Canis lupus familiaris: one gene and its partner. The protein of the gene in region 2 purifies or fractionates together with the protein of the main gene of each other region. This does not show direct contact. Links are inferred from orthologs where the notes say so. Each region holds a gene or a part of one and is shown on either strand. Other genes may lie near its edges.

Region 1 (11,637 bases), on a different chromosome or scaffold from region 2:
ACACGCTCCCCGGCCCCGCGGGGTGTCCTGGCCCTGCTCCCCTCGTGGGACCTCCCAGGGGCCACAGTCAGGCCCCCGACCTGCCCTCCGGTGGGTCTCCAGACCTGGCGGGTCCCCTGCAGCCTGGCATAGCTCACGGAGGCCCCTCCTGCTGGTCTGAGGACGGGGGCCCTGGCACGGTGGCCACAGGGCTCGGTAGCTGGTCCTGGTGGCCCTCACTTACCCCCCTGCCCTCTGGGAGCCCCCTCCGGGAGCCCGGGCTGTGAGGGAGCCAGGGGAGCCTGACACCCGCGGGGAGGGATCAGAAAAGGCCTCGGGGTGCACGCCCTCCGTGGGGCTCTGGCTCTTGCAGGAGGTGGGCTACTGCCAGGGCATGAGCGAGATCGCGGCCATCGTCCTCATGTTCCTGCCCGAGAACGCCTTCTGGGCGCTGGCCCAGCTGATGACAGACGACAGGCATGCCATGCACGGTAGGGGCCCACCGGGCCGCCGGGCGGGAGAGGAGCTTAGGAGGGCCTCCCTGCAGGCTGCTGCACCTGGGGGCAGGCGGGGACCCCCCCAGCCCGCCCCCTCCACGGGCAAGAGCCCCGCCTCCCCGGTGGCCTCCGGGTCCCGGAGCCACGGCCACCCACCCCACCGTCTGCAGGCCAGGCTCGCAGTCCCGCTGCTCCCCCAGCCTCCCGCCCGGCTGCCTGCCCCCCAGGCCCCCCTGCCAGCCCACAGCCACACGGGGCCCAGGGGGCAGCATCTCCCCCTCCCGGGGGCCCCCAGCCTCACTCCCAAGCCCCACAGAGGGCCATGCACGCCCATCACCCTCCCCATGGCCTACACCCGCTGCCCCTCGGGGCTGGGGACCCGCCTGTCCCCGCGGCGGCCCCTGCAGGAGAGAGGGTGCTGGGTCAGCCGGGCCTGGTCCTCAGCCCCCAGCCCACGCCCCGCGGGGTCTCTGTGAGGACGAGGGTCCCCGGCCCCACACCCCCGGCTTGAGAGGCAGCCCTGCCCTCTGGGAAGAGCCGGTCCAGTCAGGGCTCCGAGGGCGGTGGGCACATGGGGGTCAGGGCGTGGGGGTAGGCCCCTGCCCCGACACCCCTCACCCCACCTGGTGCAGGAGGAGGCCCTGATCGTGGGGGCCTGGGGCCTTCTCAGGCTTCTTCGTCCCAGGCTTCCAGAAGCTCCTCAGGTTCCAGGCTCATCACCAGCGCGTCCTCCAAAGAGCTCTCCCCGACCTGAGGAAGCACATGGCACATGGGAGCTCCTGAGGTTCCGTCCCCGGGGTCCGGGGCAGGGGGTGGGGGGCACGGCCCTCCGAGCTGCCCAGAGTTGGGGTCACGTTCCTCCCCTGGGGCCCAGGGGCACCCTCGGGGCTGGGCAGGGCTGTGGGGAGCGCAACAACGGGCTCCAGGGGCTGCGGTGTGGGGCCTGAGCACCTCCTGCCCTCCCGCCAGGACGAGGAGCAGATGTCCACCGGCATCTATACCCCAAAGTGGTTCCTGCAGTGCTTCCTCAGCCGAGTGAGGCCCCCCAGGAACCCCGCTCCCGGACCTGCCCCCTGCCCCCGGGGAGGGCCAGCTCAGCCCCACCCTCCAGACGAGCCAGGCCGGACCCCGGGGCCCTGAGGCTGAGGCTCGCAGCCCAGCCCGTCCTGGAGAAGCCCAGAGGGTCCCTGGACGAGGTTCCGGGGGGCGGGCCGTCTCTGCCTCAGCTCCCCTGGGGGAGGCCAAGTCAGCCCGGGGTGTAGACGGGCCCTCGGCCCATCGGGCGGCCAGCCTGGGGTCCTCTCGAGGCGTGGTGTCGTCAAGTGCAGGCAGAGTCTGTGCCCCCAGGGGTGCGGGAGGTGCTGGCCGGGGTCGGAACCCGGAGCGGCCGGGAGTCCTGATCTCCCTGGGAGGAGGGCACGCACTGGGGGGGGGGGGGGTGCTGTGGTGCCTCGTTGGAGGCAGCCGGGGGGGCAAATGGCAGGCCTAGCTTAGCCCCAGCCAAGCCCCCCAGGGGCCCTGCTCAGGCCGCTCCTCCCACCCCGCTGTCCCCTAGACCCCCTTCTCACTCACCCTGAAGCTGTGGGATGTTTACATACTGGATGGGGAGCGGGTGCTCACGGCCCTGGCCTACACCATCCTCAAGGTGCACACAAGTAAGTGAGCCCCTGGGAGCCCAGAGGTGGGGAGGGGGCAGGGGCGGTGACCCTGTGCTCTGAGCAGCACCCAGACCTGGGGCGGGGGGGACGGCGGGGCAGGCGGGTGCAGTGGGGCTCCCTGAGAGGAGCAGCGGGCAGGGGCCACCCCGGCCAGCGCACTGCCCACGGCGCTCCTGGACACAGCGGGACCCCAGCCGCTGGACTGGGGGCACTAGGGGCCCCAGGGCAGGGCCTTCTGGGTCTGACTCTCACCCACTGCCCAGAGAGCCTCCTGAAGCTGCCCCTGGAAGGGCTCCGGGAGTTCCTCCAGGACTCTCCGGCCCAGCCCTGGGCCCTGGAGGACGAGGCGGTGCTCAGACACCTTCGGGCCTCCATGACCCAGCTCCGGAGGATGCGGTGCGACCTGCCCCCACCCAGGTGGGCTCAGGGCCCCGGCCCCTCCCGACTCGGCCTGCTGGGGCCACCCAAAGGGGACAGAGCCCCCGTCCTCATCTCTGGGGCTCTCCTCTTCTGCTCTAGCCTTGGGGACTCCAGGCTAGGGCTGGGCGGGCAGGCACCCACTGCAGGGCCCGGGCACCAGTGTGGGGGGCTGAGCACAGGGTCAGGCGGGGGGGCCACAAGGGAGCTGAGGACCCCCGGGGCCCCCAGCGGGGAACACATAGCCTGCTGGAGACGCTGACCCCGTCAGCCTCTTTCCAGCGGGACCTGGAGTTCCCCACGAGGCCCCTCGGCCTGAAGCGAGTGTCCCCGGCGCCCAGGCCTCTCCTCCCTTCTCCGGCCTCTGAGCCACCGCCCAGGGTGGAGGAGCAGGCCTCCCCGGGCCCAGCCACCCAGCCTGAGCCGCCCGGACCCCCTCCCAGCCAGGCCATCGTCCAACTTCCCCCCCAGCGATGGAACTCCCTCCCCACCCTCCCAGTGTAACAAGACGGTGCGGGCAGGTGGCCCCCGGACACGGTGGGCTTGAAGACAAAAAACGGGGTCCCCTTCCCTTCGGCACCTGCCTGGGCCACCCCAGAGGCCCCGCGACGGACCAGGCCCTGGAGCACCCCCGGGACTCCCATCACGGGGTCCCCCCAGCCCCCTAGGGACGACGCTGTCGGGCCCAGGACACCCTTCCTGCCCCGCGGCCACTGCAGCTCATGCCTCTCGCTGGGCAGTGACGGGCACAGCCAGGGCAGAGCCAGGGCGGCGCTGAGCCCGCTGCCCCGAGGCCCCGCACAGGCCCGGGACCCTCTGCCCTCTGCGTCCACAGGGCAGCTCAATGCTCGCGGGCAGAGCGTGGTGGTGAGTGCGGGGGCCCAGAGGCTCTGGCCCGCCGTCACCGTGCCCTGCCTCATCTTGCTGTCCCTCCCGGAGGGCGGCACCCCCCGCACAGGACACCAACCCCTGACCCAGAGGGACCTGGGCTGGCCTGGCCCCAGGCTCTGTGGGGGCAGGGGCGACTCGAGAACTGCCCCCCAGGCCCAGCACTAATGGGATCCAGTGCTCCGGGGCCCTGGCCAGGCCTGCGTTCTGGCCCCGGGCTGAGCGAGCCCTCTCAGAGCCGGATGTGGCCTCCTGGGCCCTGGGCGTGCCCCACAGATCCAGGTCACTGACCTAGGGCAGCCCTGGGGATCCCGGGACACCCCAGGGCAGGGCAGCAGGGGCAGGCCCGTGGGCCCCACCCGCACCCACACCAGGAGGCAGGCTCCTCCACGTGCTGGGGCTCCAGCAGTCAGTCACCCGGCCCCAGTGGGCCCGAGGCCGGGGTCCAGCTGCCCTGCGGGGACCTAGAGCAGGAGCCCATGGGCCGCAGGTCCAGGCCAGCTCTGCTGTCCCCAGAACCGCCTCTCAACACCCCAACCTCAGGACACACACCCCCACCCGGAGTCCGCACAGGCTCCAAAGTGGGCGACTCCAGCACCCGTACCCCCGTGGGATTCCCGCTTTCCTCTAAGGACAGGAAGGTCTCCCAGGGGAAGGCGCACACCCTCGGCTCTGAGCCCGTTTGCTGTTGCAAGTTCAATAAGGTGTTGTGTGAAAATGCACGGCCGGCTCGTTTCTGCGTCTCCCGGAGCTCTGTGCACGGGGTGTGGAGACACCCCCAGAGAGGAGGAGGGGGGACCTCCCGGCCCCGACCAGCCCCTGCAGGGGCGCCGCCAGGCACACACAGCTGACGTCCCCACGTGCCTTGCAGGTGCGGCCATACGCCAGGGTCAAGACCATCAAATAATTTACTGCGACTCAGCCTTTGCCCCGCGGGCAAGGACGGGACTGGGGGAGAGTGACAGCCGGGGGGGCCCGTGGCCTCAGTTCACGACAGTCTGTGCAAAGCGCCCTGGGAGGTCCGTGCTCCCCCTGTCCAGGGGGCCTGGGCTGGCCGGGCCCCGGGGGCGCTTCCTTCCTTCCTCGCCCTCCTCCTTCCTCCTTCCGCGCCTCCTCCCAGCTTCCGGCACCTCCTCGCCCCGAGCCTGTGCGCCTGGGGCACAGAGGACCAGCGGGGCTGCCAACGTGGCCCTGGAGGGGACGTCAGGACAGCAGGCACTTGCAGCTCATGCAGCCTGGGCCTCCCTCGTCGGGCGGGCTCAGCTTGCGCACCTTGTGCTGTCGAATCTCTCGCACCAGCGTGTAGAAGGCATCCTCCACGCCCTGGGAAGACGGGGCTGGCTGAGCGTGCGGCTCGGCCCGGGGGCCTGGCAGCGCAGGGGACCGAGGGACCCCAGCGTCAAGCTCATGCATCATCCCAGCTCCCCCTGGCCTCTCCCCACCCCGCCCCCACACAGGCAGCCCCAGGGCTCCCCCCATCAGGCGGCTTGGCCCTCAGGAGCTCCCCCACAGGGCAGCCCCGAGGTCTGGCTCCCAGCTCTAACATCCAGGGTCCCGCTCCTGTCTGACCTACCACCCTGGTCCCCCACAGCCCATTAAAGAGGGCAGGGCCTACACGGGCCCATGGGGCTTTCTGCGGGCAGGGGCCAGGGCCCCAGGGTCACCACTCGGCCTGGCTCAGGGCAGCTCTCTCTGGGGACCTCTGCCTCTCCCTGGAGCTGTGTCAGCCCAAACCCTGGGCCCCGGCCTCCCTCGCTGCCCTGCCGTCCGGGGACACTTACAGCGCTAGGGGCCGCTGGGTCACGGGGGTCCCGGAGGGTCCCAGAGGGTCCCGGAGCTGGAGCCAGAGCCAGACCGGCTGCCCTGTGTCGGGGGAGAGGGGGCAATAAGCACTGCTCCCTGGCAGGGGCGGGGCGGGGCGGGTCCCCAGCTAGCTGCGGGGTGGGGAGCCGGCTCACCTGGCGCGTCTTGGCTGACGTCTCGATGTAGGGGATGCCGTAGCTGCGGGCGAGGTCCTGCGCCTGCCGGGACTCCACGGTGCGAGCAGCCAGGTCACACTTGTTCCCCACCAGCACCATGGGCACGTCGTCAGAGTCCTTCACTCGCTTGATCTGCTCCCTACAAGAAGGAAGGTGGGAGCCAGTCGGTAGGCTGCAGGCACGGCTGCATCCGAGACCCTGACAGAGAAACGCGATGAGAGGCAGAGGAACAGGTGGCTCTGAGGGCCGGCCGGAGGCTCACCTGTACTGGTGGATGTCCTCAAAGGACTTGGTGTTGTTGATGGCAAATACACAGAGAAAGCCCTCCCCCGTGCGCATGTACTGGTCCCGCATGGCGCTGTACTCCTCCTGGCCCGCTGTGTCCAGGATGTCCAGCAGGCACGTCTCCCCGTCGATGACCACTTGCTTCCGATAGGAGTCCTGCGGCAGGCCAGTGCTTCAGAACGCCCAGCCCCACACCTCCGAGGACGGGGCCACCCAGCCACCAGCCCCTCCTAGGTCCCCAGGTGCCACCCCCAGGTCCCACGAGCAGGGGCCGCCCTCCTGCGGAGCCCACAGCAGACATGCCCACAGCAGGCTCAGGGCTGGGCGAGCTCACCTCGATGGTGGGGTCGTACTCATCCACGAAGTGGTTCTGGATGAGCTGGATGGTCAGGGCGCTCTTGCCCACGCCTCCAGCGCCCACCACCACCAGCTTATACTCCGTCATGGCTCCTCACGGGACGCAGCACAGGACGCCAACGAGGTCTCCTGTCCCACCTGCTGAGGAAGCTGCTCTCAGCCCTGAGCCAGCCCCGTGGGGCAGACCACCCCGGCCCCGACCCGGTCCCCAGGCCCCACACAACCAGGGAACCGGGCGCAGCCGCCCACCTGTGGCACCTCCAGCGGGGGGGGCGGCGGGGGGGGGGGGGTAGGCACCTCGCCGGCGCTCATGGCTGCGAGAGAGCAGGGAGAGCTGACAGCTGAGAGCATCTCCCAACCACGCACCCAAATTAGAAGTTGCTGGGTAGGCAGAAAGCGTGCACTGGAGGGACCCGGAGGCCCTGCAGGCTGAGATTACCGCCCCTCCCCGCAGAAACAGGTCCTGCCACAGCGGAGTGCAGCAGCGTGCCCGGGCAGGCCAGAGCCCCGCCGCGCCTCGCTGCACCGGACTAGCATCTGCGGAGCGCCCGCGGCCGCCAGCTGCTGCTCCGGGGGCGAGGCCCGGGCCCTCCTGTCCCGGGGGGAGCCCCAGGCCCGCGGCCGCTCGAGCTTCGCAGGAGAGCAGCGGCGGGCTGCGGGGATGGCGGCCCCGGGAGCAGGCCGGCGGGGTAGGCGCGGGGACGGCGCTGGGCCGCGGCCTCCGGCCCGGCTCCCGGTCTGGGAGGTTTCGGGACGCGGTGCCCGGGGCTCCGGTGCGAACGCCCGGCTCGCCCGCTGTGCATCGCGGAGGCCGCCCGCCGCCCGGGCCTCGGGGGCGCGCCTGGCGACCTGGGGGCCCCGCACGCGGCCCGCGGAGGAGAGGGCGCGGACGCCGCCGCCCGGGGCGCCCCCGCACCCCGCACCTCGCACCCCGCACCCGCCGCAGCGCCCGCCCGCGGCTCACCTGCGCCCCCGCGCGCCCCGCCGCCGCCGCCGCCTCCACCGCCCGGCGCCGCAGCCCCGGCCGCCCCCGCCCCGCCCCGCCGCCCGCCGCCCCCGCCGCACTCACCGCTCACTGGCGCGACTGCCCCCGGGGCCGGGGCCGGGGCCGGGGCGGGGGCGGGGAAGGGGGCCGGGGCCGGGGCGCGCGGCTCGCCCAGCGCATGGGCTCCGTCCGCGGAGGGTGCGGCTCGGGCTGCGGGCTGCGGGCGCGGGCGGGCGGACACTCGGGGGGGAGGGCGCGCACGCCCCGCCCCGCGCCCGTCCGTCACGCAGGCGCGGCTCGCCATTGGCCGCGGCCGTCGGGCCACGCCCCCGCCCCGCCCCGGCCCGCCCCGCCCCGCGCCGGTTGGCCGGCCCGCCCGCCCGTCACGGGCCGCGGCCGGGCGGGGCTTCCGGGAAGCGGCGCGGAGGGCGGTGCCCGGCCCCGGAGGCCCTCGTGGGCCGCGGCCTGGGGGGGCTGGGCTGCGCCCGCGGGCGCTCGGCGGGAGCGCGAGAGGCGCGGGCCGGGGCGGCGGCCTCCGCGGGGAGCTGCCCGACAGGACCGCGGGCGGCGGTGCACCGGGGCGGGGGCGCTGCAGACCGGCGGGAGCCCGTGTCCCGCGGTGGGGGGCTCCCTGCGCCGCGAGGCCCAGCGGAGGGGTCAGGCCGGGAGACGAGGCTCGAGGAGGGTCAGGGTCGGCGCGCCGGGCGGACGGCCGGGACGGGAGGCGGGCGCCGGGGCAGGCCGGGCCGCGCCCCGAGCTCTGGGGCCTCATGGCCGGGGCTCGGTGCCCTACACCCCCGTTCCCATCAGGTGGCTCCGGAACGGGCGCCTGGCACCTCGGCTTCGTCGTGCGCGCGGCACCCGGGGCGCCCAGGCCACAAGGGGCAGCGCGGCGCGGAGCATCGTTTGATCCCGCCCCAGGGGTCTCGCTGGGCCGCAGCCTCGCCCCTCTCCTCAGCCTCCCCCTGCAGGCCGGCCCGCCCAGCCCCCTAGCCCGGAGGCTCCGGCCCTGCAGACGCTTGCGCGGGGCCCAGTTAACGATGGGCCCTCTGCAAACCAGCCCGAAAGCTGCCCGAGGGCTGCGTGCCGACGGCTCCCCCATCCGGAGCGCGAACACGCACACCCCGCATCTTTTCCAGACTTTCAAAAAAGACGTGGTTTCGACATTTTATTTTAAATTTCAAAGTAGTGCATCAACACACCGTGCTTGTTTACAAAAAGGAAGAACGGTGCAGCCCGCAGGAGGCCCAGGCTGGCCCCGCTCTGGCGGCCCTGCCCGCCCTCCCGTCCTGCCCCCTCCGGTGCCGGCGCGCGCTGTTCTCGTGGAGCCCCTCCCACTGCAGGCCGTGACCTTGGCGGGCCCCTCGGGGGGGGGGGGGCTGCCCCGCCCGCACACATCGCCTACAGCACGTGCCGAGGCCGTGGCCGGTTGGCCGGCCCGTGCACTGCGCGGTGGCTAGGACAGAGCCCGGCGCCCGCTGACGCGCACAGACGCGGAGTCAAGGAGCGGCAGTGAAAGCGAGTGGCGGCGTCCCCCGAGAGCGCGGACACCCCAAACCCCTCCCGGTGTCCAGGTCTGCATTTCCCTCGTCTTCGGGGGCGCTTTCCTTTTGTTTTGGCATCGCCACCCTTAGAGGAGGGGGTCCCTCCCGCAGGGCCAGGGCCGGGAAAGGTGGGCGCTGGGCTCCGCCTGATAACCGCCTTCGCGGGCGCTGACACCCGGCCGGTCCGCGCTGGTACCCCGCCCGGTGGGGCCTCACCTCCGCCCCGGCTCCCTCCCAGCCCACGGGAGCCCACGACGTGGGGCCCTACCCTCCGGGCCCCGAATGCGCCCGCGGTCGCCCCGCCCCCGGCCTGCCCTAGCAGCCGTTGCTAAGGGGCGTGGCTCGACCGCGGAGCCTCGGAGAGTCCCGCGGGCTCATGAATATTTGAGCATTCAAATAATGCCCCGGCCCCGTTGCCATGGCGCCCAGGGCCGCAACCCCGCCACCGGAAGAACGACCCCGAGTCGGAAGGCGCGCCCCGCGGCGGAGGGCGCCCGGCCCGTGGCACCGAGACCGACCCCTTTGGTGAGAGCCCAGCACACCTTTGGGCCTGGGGCCTCAGGCCTCGCTGCACCTCCCCCGTGCCTGGGGGGAAACTGAGGCCGATGGCTGCTCCAGGATGAAGCAGCAAAGCCAGTGGGGGCTCAGCGGTACCCCCAGATGTCCAATCTGGTCTCCAGGGGCTCAGCCCACGACCGGTAGCCGGGCTCCGAAGAGTTCCCAGGCCCCAGGGTAGGAGGGACCCCAGGCTCTGCCCCTGCAGGAGAGGAGGAGGTGGCGACCCAGACTCCCTTAGTGGGGACCTAGGAGAGACTAGGCCCTGCCCGCAGCGCCCCTCCCTCTGCAGCGAAGGGGGGAGGCGTGGAGTGGACCCAGATTGCTGCTGAGCCAGGCCAAGGGCTGGCATTAGCCTGGGCCACGGAGGCAGAGAGGCCACCCGAGTGGCAGGCAGGGTGGCCGCAGGGCCCCGCGCAGCATGGACAGGTCCAGCCAGTGCATGCACGTGAGGGGACAGTGCACGTGCAAGCTGCAGCCAGCGACCCAGGCCCTGCTCCTTGGACCCGAGACTTTTGGGGCCGGATGGGACCGTCCGCTGGGCCCAGTCCAGGGTAGGACCGCTGGTCGGCTGCTGTGAGGCACAGAAGGAAAGGGCGGCGGGCTTGGCCCTTCATGCTGCCCACGGGCCTCCTGGGGCTGCAGCCAGACCAGCCCCTGCACTCCCCACACCCCAAGGCTGGCAGGCCTGGGATGGGAGCGGGCAGCGTAGTCCCAGGAGGCACGTGCTGAGGTCCCCAGCCAGGCTTGGGGCTTTTCGCCCACTGGAGAAAGGCAGACGGCAGAGGAAGCTTCTGGAAAGAAATCCTGGCTGGAGACCCGATGAGTCTGTATGGTGGGGCTCACCTGCATGGCCTTCACCTCCTTGGATCCCCGGTGTATGGGTCACCTTCCAGATGAGGCCACTGAGGCACACAGAGCCCGCGCAGCACCCCTCCAGCGCCTCTGTCAAGGCCCAGCTGGCCACCCCCCAGCCCAGGCACGATGGAGAGGGTGCGGCTTGAGTGTCTGCAGGGCCCGAGAGATGAGAGCAGCACTGGCGTGGGCACGCGCCACACAATCCCTTCGGAGAATCGGGGGGAGCCTCTCTCCCGTGCGTTGCGGGCGCAGGAAGTGAGCATCCTGCCTGCCCGGGCCCCGCAGCCTGGGGCTCGCTCAGCGGAACGCGTCGTAAAACACAGAGGACCCCAGAAGGAGTCAGACTTAGGCGGAAAGTCAATCCAGGAAGGGCAGGAGGGGATACAGGGCAGGAGTCAGTGAGGCCTCAACCCACACTGGGGGGCGTTCCCAGAACATTCCAGGCGGACTTCCGGCTCTACCCCTGGACATGATTCTGGGATCTGGGGTCAGGCCAGGCATCTGCATCTTTAAGGAGCAGTACCAGGTGAGCCTGGCGCAGGTGTCCAGGGACACGGGCTCCCGTGGAGCCTGAGGGTGAGGGGGCTTGGGAAGGACAGGGTGCTAGGCGGCCAGCCCATGAGAGTCCAGAGAGGCAGACCTGGGACCCCTTTTGCAGAGAGGATGGTCAGTCACCACCCGACTGTCTTCCTCATCAACCCGTCCAGGTGCCCCATCAGGATGATCCAAAGGACCTGAGGGCTGGTGCCTACACTGACAGCCCCAAGCACCTCCACACCTGCCCACTTCTGCCCTGTGACCTCCTCCCTGCCTGTCCCAAGTCCCCTGGGCACAGCGACCTGGCCAGGAGGCCACGCCAACTCCCTCCTGCAGGTGCCACCTGGAGACACATGCTGCCTCCGTGCCTGGATGTTTGACCCATGGTGGGAAGAGGCAGTGCCTCCAGGTGAGGGGGCTCAGTGGGTGGAGGGGTGGGGTGCTTGGGAGCCTGGTCCCAGGCCCCCAGGTGTGGAGACACACACACAGGGCCTGAGCCAGTGGCTTGTTGCCGGCCGCGGCTGACGGAGCGAACGTGACCTGGGTCCAAGTGGCCCCCTCAGGCCTACAGCCTAGGCAGGACCTCCGAGAGGGGAGCCTGGGCCCAGCACCCCCGCTGCGGACCTTGGAGGATGGGGTGCCCCCAAGCCCGCGGGCAGGCTGAGACTGAGAGGCTGAGAGGCCATCAGAGCCAGGCAGGAGGAACCCCACGGGCTTGCCGTGCGGGGTCACCGCCAGGCCGCGAGTGCGAGCAAGAGCCGAGGCTTCGTAGCTCTGCCCTCGGCCTCTCCCAGCAGGTTGCATGTGAATGGACCAGGCCTGCAACAGAGCCCACGGGCCGTGGCCTGGCACAGCCGCTGTTCGAGTGCGGGAGCTGGGCTGGCAAGGACCGTACAACCCTCGGCCACAGAGCAAGGACCCGGGCAGCCGTAGGGACAGCCATGGCGAGCGGCTGGTACAGGAGTACCTGTCACCTGCCCGACTGGTGAGCGCTGGGGGGCTGGGGCTCAGGCCGCAGGGGTCTGCATGGGGCACCACTGTTCCAGGCCCGATGTCCAGCCAGCCCTCTGGCCTGGATGAACGCTCTCAGCCCTGCGG
Region 2 (11,691 bases):
CACATTGGCCAAGAATCAGTAAGTCCTGAGATGAGAGAAATTCAGGGTATATGTAATGGATAGAAATGGGCTAAACTGGCCTAGTGTAGAAGCAGGGTCATGGTCCACTTGTCAATATTAATTTCGTTAGGGAGGGCTCCTAGGGAATGATAGACAATCAAGGGAGTTGGGAGAACCAGTTTTATCAGTTGGGACGGAAATATTCCCAATATTTTTACAATTGCAATGACCAGCCTGGTGCATGTATACTAATTATGGCTCCAGATTATAAGGAGTGAAACTTCAGTGTCTGACATAATTCTTACCTAAAGAGTGCTCTGGAATGATAAAGGTTTCTTGATTGCTTCAGATCAGTTAGTTAAAGTGGAAGTTTGACCAATGGTGGAATGAACTGGAGTTTGTGAGCTCTGTGGTTCCTTCTAGACATGGAACACTATGGAAGTTGAGCTGCCGGCTTTCATGGGTTTCACCACTATGACCGCCTCTGCCCAACTGTTCCATCTTACCCATTTCTACTCTTGAAGGATTTTGCCTGTGTGCAGTCTGGTTTCCTCCTGAAGTATCTGTGAAACACTCAGGCCCGCATGAAGTGGAGGGCCAGAGGCAGGTCAGGCCCGGAGGGTGTAGAGCCTGCCTGGGCTTGCTGGATGAGTGACTTCATGGCTGTGTGGTCAAGTCCTCTGAGTCTCAGTTCTCTTATTTCAAATGGGAATCATAAGTAAGGGTGTAGGGATTAAAGAAGATGGTGTTGAATCTCATGCCAGGCACAGAATAAGTGCTTGAGAAGTGGTAGCTAACATTAGAGCAGGAGCTCTGGAGGCAGCCTGTTCAATCCCTGCCCCTTTCCTTACTAGCTCTGTGACCTTGGATGTATTTCTTAAACCTCCTGTGTCTCATTTCCCCCATCTGTAAGATGGCGATAGTAATAGCACTTACTTCATGGGATAAGTGTGCGAATTGCACGGGATAATGTACACAAAGTGCTTAAAACAGTGCCTGACACATTGCCAGTATTCAGTAAAGAGAGCTATTTTTAGAATGATTATTAATAGATGTTTGGTCATTCCTATGCTTTGTGCTTGCATGAATGAGATGAGTCATAAGATAGGAATTATAAATGAGCCCAGATTGTATTGGGGGAGATAGGTGCACAGATAATATCAAGATGTCATTCCAAGGGCTGAAATAGGATTGGAGTAGTTCTGAATGCTGTGATAGTCCAGAGGAGAGGGCAATTAATTCTGCCAATCCATGTTGTGTTGGCGCAAAAATGTGATTTTACCTGTGTGTGGTCCTGAGTCTTCCTTATGTGTCAGTGATACATTTGGGGCCATGTAAAGTGAAGACCCACAGGCCCAGCTTTTAAGTCAGGGAGTCTGAGGGTACAGCCTTGAGGGATGAACAGTAGCAGTTCTTGGGAGCAGAGAGAAGAGGCTGGTCTAACACTGGGTAGAAGTACAGAAAGTACTCAGTGGAGGGCAGGGCAAAGGAAGAGTAGAGTAGAAAAGCTAGTTGAGCCCAACTGGTAGAAAGCCCTGAGCACCTGCACCCCACAGAATTGGACTAAAGATCAGAGCATAAAGTATTTTTGTCAAATGAATGGTATTTCAATATCATTGGAATGTCCTTTCAATATCATTTACTTCTTGGGAGCATAGAAGTAAATCCTTGTGTTAAGTGTATTAAAAATATAATAATGCTCTCTAGCTTCACTCTTAAGAGTTCAAACTTTGGGAAATTCCAAAATCTCCAAAACTTTCCAAGTGTTGAGAGAGGGTTAGGTATCCAGACACGCTTGGTTCCTTTCCCTCCTCACAGCCTCTGCTGAAAGGTCGAAGCAACTAGAAGGCTCTCCTCATCATAGCTGTCTGGGCACAGGTTCTACAAGTCATCATGCTCAGTCTTAAAATCTGTAGGACATGCTCTTGAGTTAGAGACAGATGGGGCTAGGCAGAGAAAGATAAGGGAAAGGCCCAAAGTTGGGATCCCATAAATCTCTGGGCTCCCATAAATCCCAAGGACACCAAAAGGCCCAGAGTCAGGCTCTTACCCATCCCAATGAAACAGAGATAAGGCAGCAAAAACAGAGAAAAAAAAATTAAAAATAAATCTGGCTCCCTAGCTCCAAAATTTTAGGGAGTATCTCCCCTTGATGGTTCCCAAGTAATCATAGAAACTCACCAGACCACAAAGAAGTAAGTCATTAAAGGTGTTATCAAATAGTCCTTCCTCAAACCAAGACTGCACAAGAATCTCAAGGCCACAAGCTTTGTAATCAGTTCTCAATCCAAGACTGCCACTAAACGCCCTCAGTGGCAACCCTGTCAGGACTCCTCTCACTTCTGAGAGCTTTCTCTCTATCTTTGCCTAATAAACTTCTTTTTTTTTTTTTTTAAAGATTTTATTTTTTTTATGATAGTCACAGAGAGAGAGAGAGAGAGGCAGAGACACAGGCAGAGGGAGAAGCAGGCTCCATGCACCGGAAGCCCGATGTGGGATTTGATCCCGGGTCTCCAGGATCGCGCCCTGGGCCAAAGGCAGGTGCCAAACCGCTGCGCCACCCAGGGATCCCTTTGCCTAATAAACTTCTATCGCTTTACTCACTCTCTGTTGTCCATGAGATTCATTCTTCGACTCTGTGAAACAAGAATCAAGCTCTCCCGTATCTCTCTGACCTACACAGTCCTTCACATCTGCCCTCTTGAGGGTTCTCAGTACCACATTTTTTTTCTTACCTTCTTTTCTTGTTCACTGTATGTCTACCTTATCCCTAAGTGCCATGAGGGTAGAAATCTTACTGGTCTTTTTCTTTTTTCACTTGTTCTTTTCTTTTCTTTAATATTTATTTATTTATTATTTATTTAGGAGAGAAAGAGAGAGAGAGTAACCAAGTGGTAAGTGGTGGGGAGGGGAAGAGGGAGAAAGAATCCTGAAGTGGACTCCCCACTGAGCATGGAGCCAGAAGTGTGCTTGATCCCAGGACCCCCGACATCATGACCTGAGCTGAAACCAAGAATTGGTAGCTTCACCAACTAAGCCACCCAGGTGCCTCCACTGGTCTTTTTCTTTTTTTTAATTTTGAAAAAATTTCAGACACATAGAAAGGTTGCAGGAAAAGTTCAGAGAATGCTTGTATGCTCTTCACCTACTTCCCGGTTGTTAATATGTTACATTTGCCATATGCTTTCTCGGTTTCTCTCTTTATATATCTACATCATTATGGACTGCACTGTGCCTTCCCCCAAATTCATTTGTTGAATCCCTAATTCCCAGTACCTTAGAATGTGACTGTATTTGGAAATAGAGCCTTCAAAAACATAATGAAGTTAAAATGAGATGGTTAGAGTAGCTCCAAATCCAATCTGATTGGTGTCCTTATAAGAAGAGGTGATTAAGACATCCGGAGAGAGATAGCTGAAGTGTACTGCCATAAAGAGAAGGCCATGTGAGGACACTGAGAAGGCAGCCATATGCAAGGCAAGGAGAGAGGCCTCAAGGGAAAAAACAAACAAACAAACCCTGCCAACACCTTGATCATGTATTTCCAGCCTCCAGAACTGGGACAAAATAATTTTCTGTTGTTTAGGACACCTGGGCGGCTCAGCGGTTAAGCATCTGCCTTTGGCTCAGGGCGTGATCCTGGAGACCTGGGATCGAGTCCCACGTGGGGCTCCCTGCATGGAGCCTGCTTCTCCCTCTGCCTATGTCTCTGCCTTTCTCTCTGTGTCTCTCATGAATAATTTTTTAAAAAAATTTCTGTTGTTTAAGCTACCCAGTCTGTGATATTCTGTAGTGACACCCTTAAAAAACTAATATTTATATGGGTGACCCTTGAACCACCTAAATTTGAATTGCTTGAGTTACCATGTAGAATTTTTTCAATAAATACAGGACTATAATGTATTTTTCTCTTCCTCGTGGTTTTCTTGGTAATGTTTTCTTTTCTCTAGCTTACTTTATTGTAAAAATATATATGGTATAATACATATAAAATATGTTAATTGACTGTTCATGTTATTTGGAAGGCCTTTGGTCAACAGTAGGATACTAGTAGGATATATATAGAATATATATACACATTTCCTGAACCATTTGAAGACATGATGTCCCTTTATTTCTAAAGGCAAGTACTTTCTTTTATGTAATCACAATATAATTAGCTAAAGCAGGAAATTAACACTGATATGCTATTAGCTGATCTACAGATTTATTAATATTTGCTAATTGCCCTGTAATATCCCTTAAGCAAAGAGAAAGGAAAAAGAAAAATGAAATAAAGAAAAGAAAAATAATTTTTTGGTCCCAAATCACACATTTGTCATGTCTAGAGTCATCTAAAACGGTACATCATTCTTTGTTTTTCATGACTTTGACATTTTTTCAAAGAGTACAGGCCGCTTTTCTTGTAGTATATCTTTCAGTTTGGATTTGTTGGATATTTCCTCGAGATTAGATTAAGATCTAATAATATATTCCAAAATTTCAGGAATATGGCTTTTTCCTGGACTGTTTTAATATTCCAGGTCTGTGTTCTCCCCTCTCGATGTGTAAATGAAAAATTTATAACATTTTTTAGGGAACTTAATGGTTTAGAAAAACCACTTCGTTCAATTTTCAGACTTGTTAAGAGTTATGAATTGATGTGTCCTCCTTAATGCACCATATTGTGTGTTTGTCTCCTTAATGATGGTGTAATTTGCACCTCTTGTTTAAGGTCATGACTTTCAGGGCCGTGTGAGTGGCTCAGCGGTTAAGCATCTGTCTGCCTTTGGCCCAGGGCATGATCCTGGAGTCCCAAGATCCAGTCCTGCACTGGAGCCTGCTTCACCCTCTGCCAGAGTCTCTGCCTCTCTCTCTCCCTGATGAGTGAATAAATAAAATCTTAAAAAAAAAAAAAAAAAAGGTTACGACTTTCAGGTTTCCCTGTTGTAAGTTTATTATTTCCCCCCTTACTATTAATAAGTATTTTGTGGGAGAGATTCTTCAACACTTTATTTTTACTTTATTGTAAAAATATATATGATATAATACATATAAAATATGTTAATTGACTGTTCATGTTATTTGGAAGGCCTTCTGCAAAAAGGATAGCCAGATAAAATACAGGAAGCCCAGTTTACTTTTAATTGCAGATGACCATCGAATACCATCCTTTGTCTTTTCAAAAAAATTTACTTGAGAGAGAGAGTGAGCGCGCGAGACAGCCCGAGCAGGGGCAGAGGGAGAGGGAGAAGCAGGCTCCTCGCTGGGCAGGGAGCCCGCAGTGGGGCTCAATCCAGATCCCTCCATCCCAGGACCAGGAGATCGCGACTTGAGCCACCCGGGTGCCCTAATACAGCCAATGCTACCCTAATACAAGTATGACCCTTCCTCCTAAATTATTTATCTAAAATTCAAATTTAATGGAGTGTCTTGCATTTTTGCTTGCAAGATCTGGCATAACCCAGCAAGTTCATCACCTTGTTCCTCATCCAGTTTGATCCAGTTGTTTTGACATCCATCGATGATGGACGTCGCTATGATTTCACTATGATTTTGCCAAACAGTTTCTTTGTAACTGCATCACTCTTCTATCCGCCTGTGTTTCTATCCCCTATTTTACGGCGCCTGGCACGCGGCAGGCGCTCCGACACTCGTTCCAGCGATGAATGAACCAACTCTCGCCGGCGCTGGCCGGGCTTGGGGACGCGGGCCGTGTCGGGCAGGGGCTTGCCTTCCTCAGCCAACCACTGCGGGCTCCCGAAGCTTCCGAGCCTCCCCGGCCCCGCGGCTGGCTCCTCTTGCTCCAATCACAAGCCGGGCCTTGCTGGGAGGGGCCAATGGGTGCCGGCGGGAGGCGGGGCCTGCCACGCGGCGGCGGTATAACCGCGCGGCCCGCGCGCGCGCTTCTCTCCCGGGGCGGACGTCGGCGCGGGTGATGGCTGCTGTTTCCATCGCGTCCACGTTGGCCATCCGGCTCCTCCGGCCGGCGCGGAGCTGCCGCCTCCGCCATCGCCCCTTCCACCTCTCGGTAGTTCGGTAAGAGGGTGCGGGAGCTGGGTCGGCGCCGAAAGCCGAGGGGAGCCGCGGGTGGGGGGCCGCCCCGGCTCCCGGGGGCGCCGAGGGACGTTCGGCTGAGCATCTCCGTCCCGGGCGGCGACGGGGCGACGTGGCAGCCGAGCGCGGCCGCAGCCTGCGACCCGGGCGCTCGCTCCGTCGGGCGGGCGGATGCCCGGAGCCATCCTTTCCGAGGGAAGGGGTCTCCGCCACCCCGGGGCGTCGCCCTCTCCCGGGGCCAGTCCGTGGGCGGGACGGGGCCCCCGGAGCGAGCCAAGGCGCGGGCGGGCGCGGTAAGGCCCAGACTAACGCGGCGGCGTGCGGAGGTGACCGGCCAGAACGCGCCGGCCGCCCGTGGCCGTGTCGCTGGCGGCTCGGGCGAGCGCCGCGAAGGGCTCTCGGAGCAGCCCCGAGTGCGCGCCGGGATCCTAGCGGCGGGGGGAGTCGGTGCAGTCTGATGAAATCCGCGAGCCGGCTTGCTCGCCCGCTACCCGCGCTGCCCTCCTCCTTCGGGAGGTGGACGTAGCTCCCGCTGCTCTTCAGGCGGCCCCTTTCCCTCCCGAGAGAATAAATGTGCTGTGGTCTCCAGGGCTTTGATGCGGTCCACCCGGAGCTAGTCCCCGCCGGGCTGAGTAAATTGAAGGGAAAAATACCCGAGAGGAGGAGAGAGCGAGCTCTGATTGCCTTTTCTCAGCGAGGTCATAGGTTGTTGGTTTTTTTTTTTTTTTTTTTTCCCCTTTCCCATTTTTCCAGACCTCGAACTCCCATTCTTAAACCTAGGTTGAAGAGCCTTCTGGGGGCCTGTGATTTCTCTCCCTAAATCTGCGCACTCTCTCGCGCATCTTTAGAGCCTTGCGTTGCCAGTGGGCTGAGCCTTGTAACAGCAGCCCCTTCTTCCGTCCAGGCACTGCGCTAGGCTGTGTGAATTCAGGGATCATCGTAAGTCTTTTCTCCTAGTGGAACTCCCTTTAGAACACGTGTGTACTTTCCATTCAGTGTAAAAAAAAAAAAAAATGTTACAAGAAGCATTGCCACTGTGCTGTTGTAGCACAGCATGCGGATTAAGGTGTCCTTGAAAGAAGACCCGGGCTTTTGTTCTGACCCTGACCTGTCTTCCTGGCCCCATCCCCCGTTACTGTCTGTTCTCCTCCCCGAAGCTCCCTTCCTGAGTTCTGGCCTCGTGTGCCTGTGGCTTTCATGATTGAAGAGATTTCTAAAGATCCTCTAATTCATCACCTAGAAAACTGGACCAGTTTGTTCACTCTTCAGTAACAAATGCCCTCCTTTCACTTGTGTTTCTGAATGAACTAGTAGGCTTCCTCATGTCTGAAGGCAATATTATGGTATTTATGGTTTCCTTGTATTGCTTTGATCACTGATGGCTAGGAAATGTAAAACAATAATATCTTTTATGAGTCTGCATGCATTCCTTTTGGGGGTGGTGGTGGAGGGTTTCAGGAACATAGACTCCTGGTTGGAGAGCTAGTGCTATAGTAGACTGGGGTGTAGGGGAAAATGGAACTTTGGAGACAGAGGGTTGTTTGTGTTTGAATCTTACTTTCTACAGTCCTCACTTTCCCCTTTTGTATGCCAGAGTTAGTATAATAGCCTAAGGTAAGTGAGACTAATGTGTGTAAAGTTCTTAGCAAAATACCTAGTGTTTAATGGATATTAGTTGCATCCCCCTTTGTATCTTTCTTTACTCATTACTGGTTCCATTAATTAGTAGATAACTGAACTCTTTCTAGAATAACCTGTTCATGAATTGTAAATTGCACCTGGTAATTAATTTTTTAAAAATATTTTATTTATTTCAGAGCCAGAGACAGAGAGAGGCAGAGAGAGAAAGAGCACAAACAGGGGGAGGGGCAGAGGGAGAGGAAGAAGCAGACACCCCTCTGAGTAGGGAGCCTGATGCAGGATTCATTCCCAAGACCCTGAGATCATGACCTGAACCAAAAGCAGACACTTAACTGACTGAGCCACCCAGGCTCAGTTAATTATCACTCCCGATAATTAATTTTTTATGGAAGATTACAGTGCTCTGAAAAGCTATTGAATTAAAAAAGTGAAGATGCTACTGAGTTGGATTTAATTTTATTTGAACAGTCCTTGCAACTTCTTTCTAGTCTATTCATTCATTTTATTTTATTCTCACTCATAATTTTTTTTAAAATATTTTATTTATCTATTCATGAGAGACACAGACAGAGAGAGAGAGGCAGAGACACAGGCAGAGGGAGAAGCAGGCTCCACGCATGGAGCCCGATGTGGGACTTGATCCCGGGACTCCAGGATCACACCCTGGACCAAAGGCAGGCGCCAAACCGCTGAGCCACCCAGGGATCCCCTCTCACTCATAATTTTAATCAATTATTAAACATATCCGTGAAACGCGTTTAATTCCTACATAAGTGTTAGCTAGTATAGTTAATACATTTTGGATTTCCTGTGGGACTGTGGTGAGCCTCTTCTTCTCTTTCTTTTGGGGTAGCAGTTGCTTTATCTGCCCTTTGGCAAAAGAGATGATGGGAAATTAGGTAATGACTCACTGGCAGGACTGTGTTTCACATTTTGCAGAGTTGTATATGTAGAGGAGGGCTAAAACACCTTATATTAGAGAAGATACTCATTGTGTTGTGGCTTTGTTTTTGGTTCTTGTTGCTCTCTAACAAGCTTTTTAAAAGCTAATTGGCATAACATCCAGAACCTGCCTTTGGCACTTGGAACACTGGGTTCTCCCAGAACCCTGTGTTCTTAATTTTAGTATATCATTCTTAGCTCAAATGTGCTGCTACCATTTTGTCTAAGTGTATTGCTTTCAGATTTTTAAAAAAATATTTTAATTATTTATTTGAGAGAAAGGGAGTGCTGGGGTGGGGAGGGTGGGAGCAGAGGGAGAGGGAACCAGCTTGTAGCCATATGGGGGGGTGAGTAGTGTCTATCCCACAACCCTGAGATCATGACTTGAGCCCAAGGCAGACACTTAACTAACTGAACCACTCAGGCGCCCCTTAAAAGGAACTTTTTAAGAAAATGCAATTAAAGACACACATATCCTTATGAGTGTGTAAGTAAATATATATATGCTATATTAAGGATATGCATGTGTGTAAATCTAACCAATGAAAGAGAGTAAGAAATTAATGTTTCTTGAATATATGTGCCTTGTACTTTATGTTATTTCATTCAGTATAAATCATTGTCGTAAGCTCTTTTATTTTTTTTTTTTATATTTTTAAAAGATTTTATTTATTCTTGAGAGACACAGAGAGAGAGAGAGAGAGAGAGAAGGAGAGACACAGGCAGAGGGAGAAGCAGGCTCCACGCAGGGAGCCCGATGTGGGACTCGATCCCAGGACTCCAGGATCACACCTGGGCCGAAGGCAGGCGCTAAACCGCTGAGCCACCCCGGGATCCCCTGTCGTAAGCTCTTTTAAAATAATCTTTCATTCTACAGCATTCCAGGGTTGGGAATGCATTTCTGGACTGGAGCTGTTCCCCAGGAATGTTGCTAGAGGTGTTTGTATCCAAAGCCCTTTGAATGAAGCCACTTCAACTCTAAATCTAAAATAGATTTGCGAATGTTAACATGTTTTCAGTTCCTTATATACCATGTGTATATGTGAAATGCTATTATCTATTTTGTGCTATGCTTGTGTTATTACATAAAATTTGGGTAATAGTACTTGGTTTCCTATAAAATGTTATCTTTTTACTACCCCCAAGATATAAATACAAATTAATATAAGGTTTAGATATGAAATTACCCCTTTATATCTAAGACATTTCAGTCTGGTTTAAAATAGGTATTTAATCTTAATGGAAAGAAGCATGGAAGGTTTAAAGACTGTTGAAGCTTTAAAATTCCATTTTAAATAACAGTGGTCTTAAAAATGAATCATACGTGGGGTGCCTGGCTGGCTCAATGGGTGGAGTGTGCTACTCTTGATCTCAAAGTTGTCAGCTTGAGCTCCATGCTTGGTGTAAAGATTACTTAAAAATAAAATCTTAAAAAAAAAAAAAGAATTCTATCTGACCATACAAGATAACCAGTACCTTGGTGTTATCCCTGAGAATTGGATATGTGCTATAAGGGGAAATTTTCTTAATATTTCAGACAATCATGTGTCTCATTGGTCTTGAGGTTGAAGCATCCTTCATTGATACTGAGACTGAAAACTAAAGGGAAAGACTTGTTTCCACTGAGAGCTTTATGCTTAAGGAGCAGGTGCTTAGCGCACATGAAGTATTGGGAACTTGTAAGGACATGTATGGAAATAAGAAAGGCAGGAATCTTCCACATTAGAACCCAGGAAGAGCTGCATAAACAGTTCCTGTTGGGAAGCAGTGGCCTCTCAGAGGTCTGAACATGGTTTTGGGAACTGGAGGTTCTTTCAGACCCTGACTTTTCTCGTTGCCCCTCCAATAGCAGTTTCCACCTCTCTTGCTCCATCTACTATGAGCGTGATCGCTGTTCTGTTTCTACTTTTTTCTTTTCTTTTTTTTTAAAGATTTATTTATTTATTTTATGATAGACATAGGGAGAGAGAGAGAGGCAGAGACACAGGAGGAGGGAGAAGCAGGCTCCATGCCGGGAGCCTGATGAGGGTCTCAATCCCGGGACTCCAGGATCGTGCCCTGGGCTAAAGGCAGGCGCCAAACCGCTGAGCCACCCAGGGATCCCCTGTTTCTACTTTTTTTCTACGGCTTTCTTCAGCTTCTCCTACCAACAAGTCCTCCGGTTTGAGTGTGTGGATGTGAAGAGCTTTCGGGGAGAAGCTCTTATCAGTCTAGTTACCTACCACTGCTGCTGTTGCCGTGAGCTTTTGCACCAGCTGGACCAGTGGCCTGCCTAGAAATTGTTGTCCCTAGTGTCAGATACTCCTGGTCTGTGGCTACCAGGGCCCCAGGGTAGAGCACACTGCCACCCATGGGATAGAACCTCCTCTAGTCCCCTGCCAGCCCTTATTCTCACTGGGAAAGTCTTCTCTAGGAGGGCTGTGGGGAGCAATGGTAATTTTGAGGTTTGGCCTGTCCAGAATATTGTTTATTGGTTTAATTGCATGACATAATTTATATATGTGAAAGCATCACAGAAACTCAAAGCCAATTGACTTAACTAGGAAATGGTTTGAAACATATGACTGGATGCTAATAACATGTACAAAACACAGACTACAAAATGGTATATAAGCATATAGGAAACACCATTAACCTCTTAGTGGTGACGGGTCAAATAAAACAGTGCAAATTAAAACAGTGGGAAACTTGGCGGAGGGGGGGGCGGCGTCTATCATTTTGTCAGGGGGCAGGGGGCAGGATGGTATAGTGGTGAGAGCCTGGACTCTGGATTCAGAGAGAGCTGGATATGAGACCCAGCTTTGCCAAGTACTAGCCTTCACTCACGTAAACTCTTCAAGCTTCAGGGTAATGCTAGTAACTATGTCAGTCAACGTTATCTTTCTGAACAAGTAGCTAGACACAGATTTGTCACTTTGAGACTGCCCTTCAGATTTCTGTTGTCCCTCAGATTAGGGACCATGTGTTTGAATCTACTCTTTAAGTTTGGGGTAGTTAATAACTTTTTTTTTTTTTGTAATCTGATCTTTTTTAGTTTTCCCAGAAATTTAAGCTATTTGGTTTTGTGACTGT

What was found.
Region 1: the proteins of MTHFD2 (region 2) and HRAS purify together in Homo sapiens (co-immunoprecipitation; 4 studies listed by BioGRID and IntAct, with this or other methods). This does not show direct contact. The link is inferred for Canis lupus familiaris from reciprocal best matches to the Homo sapiens genes MTHFD2 and HRAS.

What each region holds. Positions count from the first base shown.
Region 1 is NC_049239.1:25,989,736-26,001,372, forward strand, and holds HRAS (GTPase HRas), read right to left. Parts: upstream 6,204-11,637; 5' UTR 6,149-6,203; coding exon 6,038-6,148; intron 5,860-6,037; coding exon 5,681-5,859; intron 5,558-5,680; coding exon 5,398-5,557; intron 5,311-5,397; exon of another isoform or gene 5,303-5,310; coding exon of another isoform or gene 5,240-5,302; exon of another isoform or gene 4,763-5,239; coding exon 4,643-4,762; 3' UTR 4,330-4,642; downstream 1-4,329. Other genes in the region: uncharacterized protein LOC119864195, read left to right, coding at 353-470, 1,109-1,230; LRRC56 (leucine-rich repeat-containing protein 56), read left to right, coding at 11,348-11,524. UniProt on the Homo sapiens protein: Involved in the activation of Ras protein signal transduction. Ras proteins bind GDP/GTP and possess intrinsic GTPase activity.
Region 2 is NC_049238.1:49,392,256-49,403,946, reverse strand, and holds the start of MTHFD2 (bifunctional methylenetetrahydrofolate dehydrogenase/cyclohydrolase, mitochondrial), read left to right. Parts: upstream 1-5,865; 5' UTR 5,866-5,917; coding exon 5,918-6,018; intron 6,019-11,691. UniProt on the Homo sapiens protein: Although its dehydrogenase activity is NAD-specific, it can also utilize NADP at a reduced efficiency.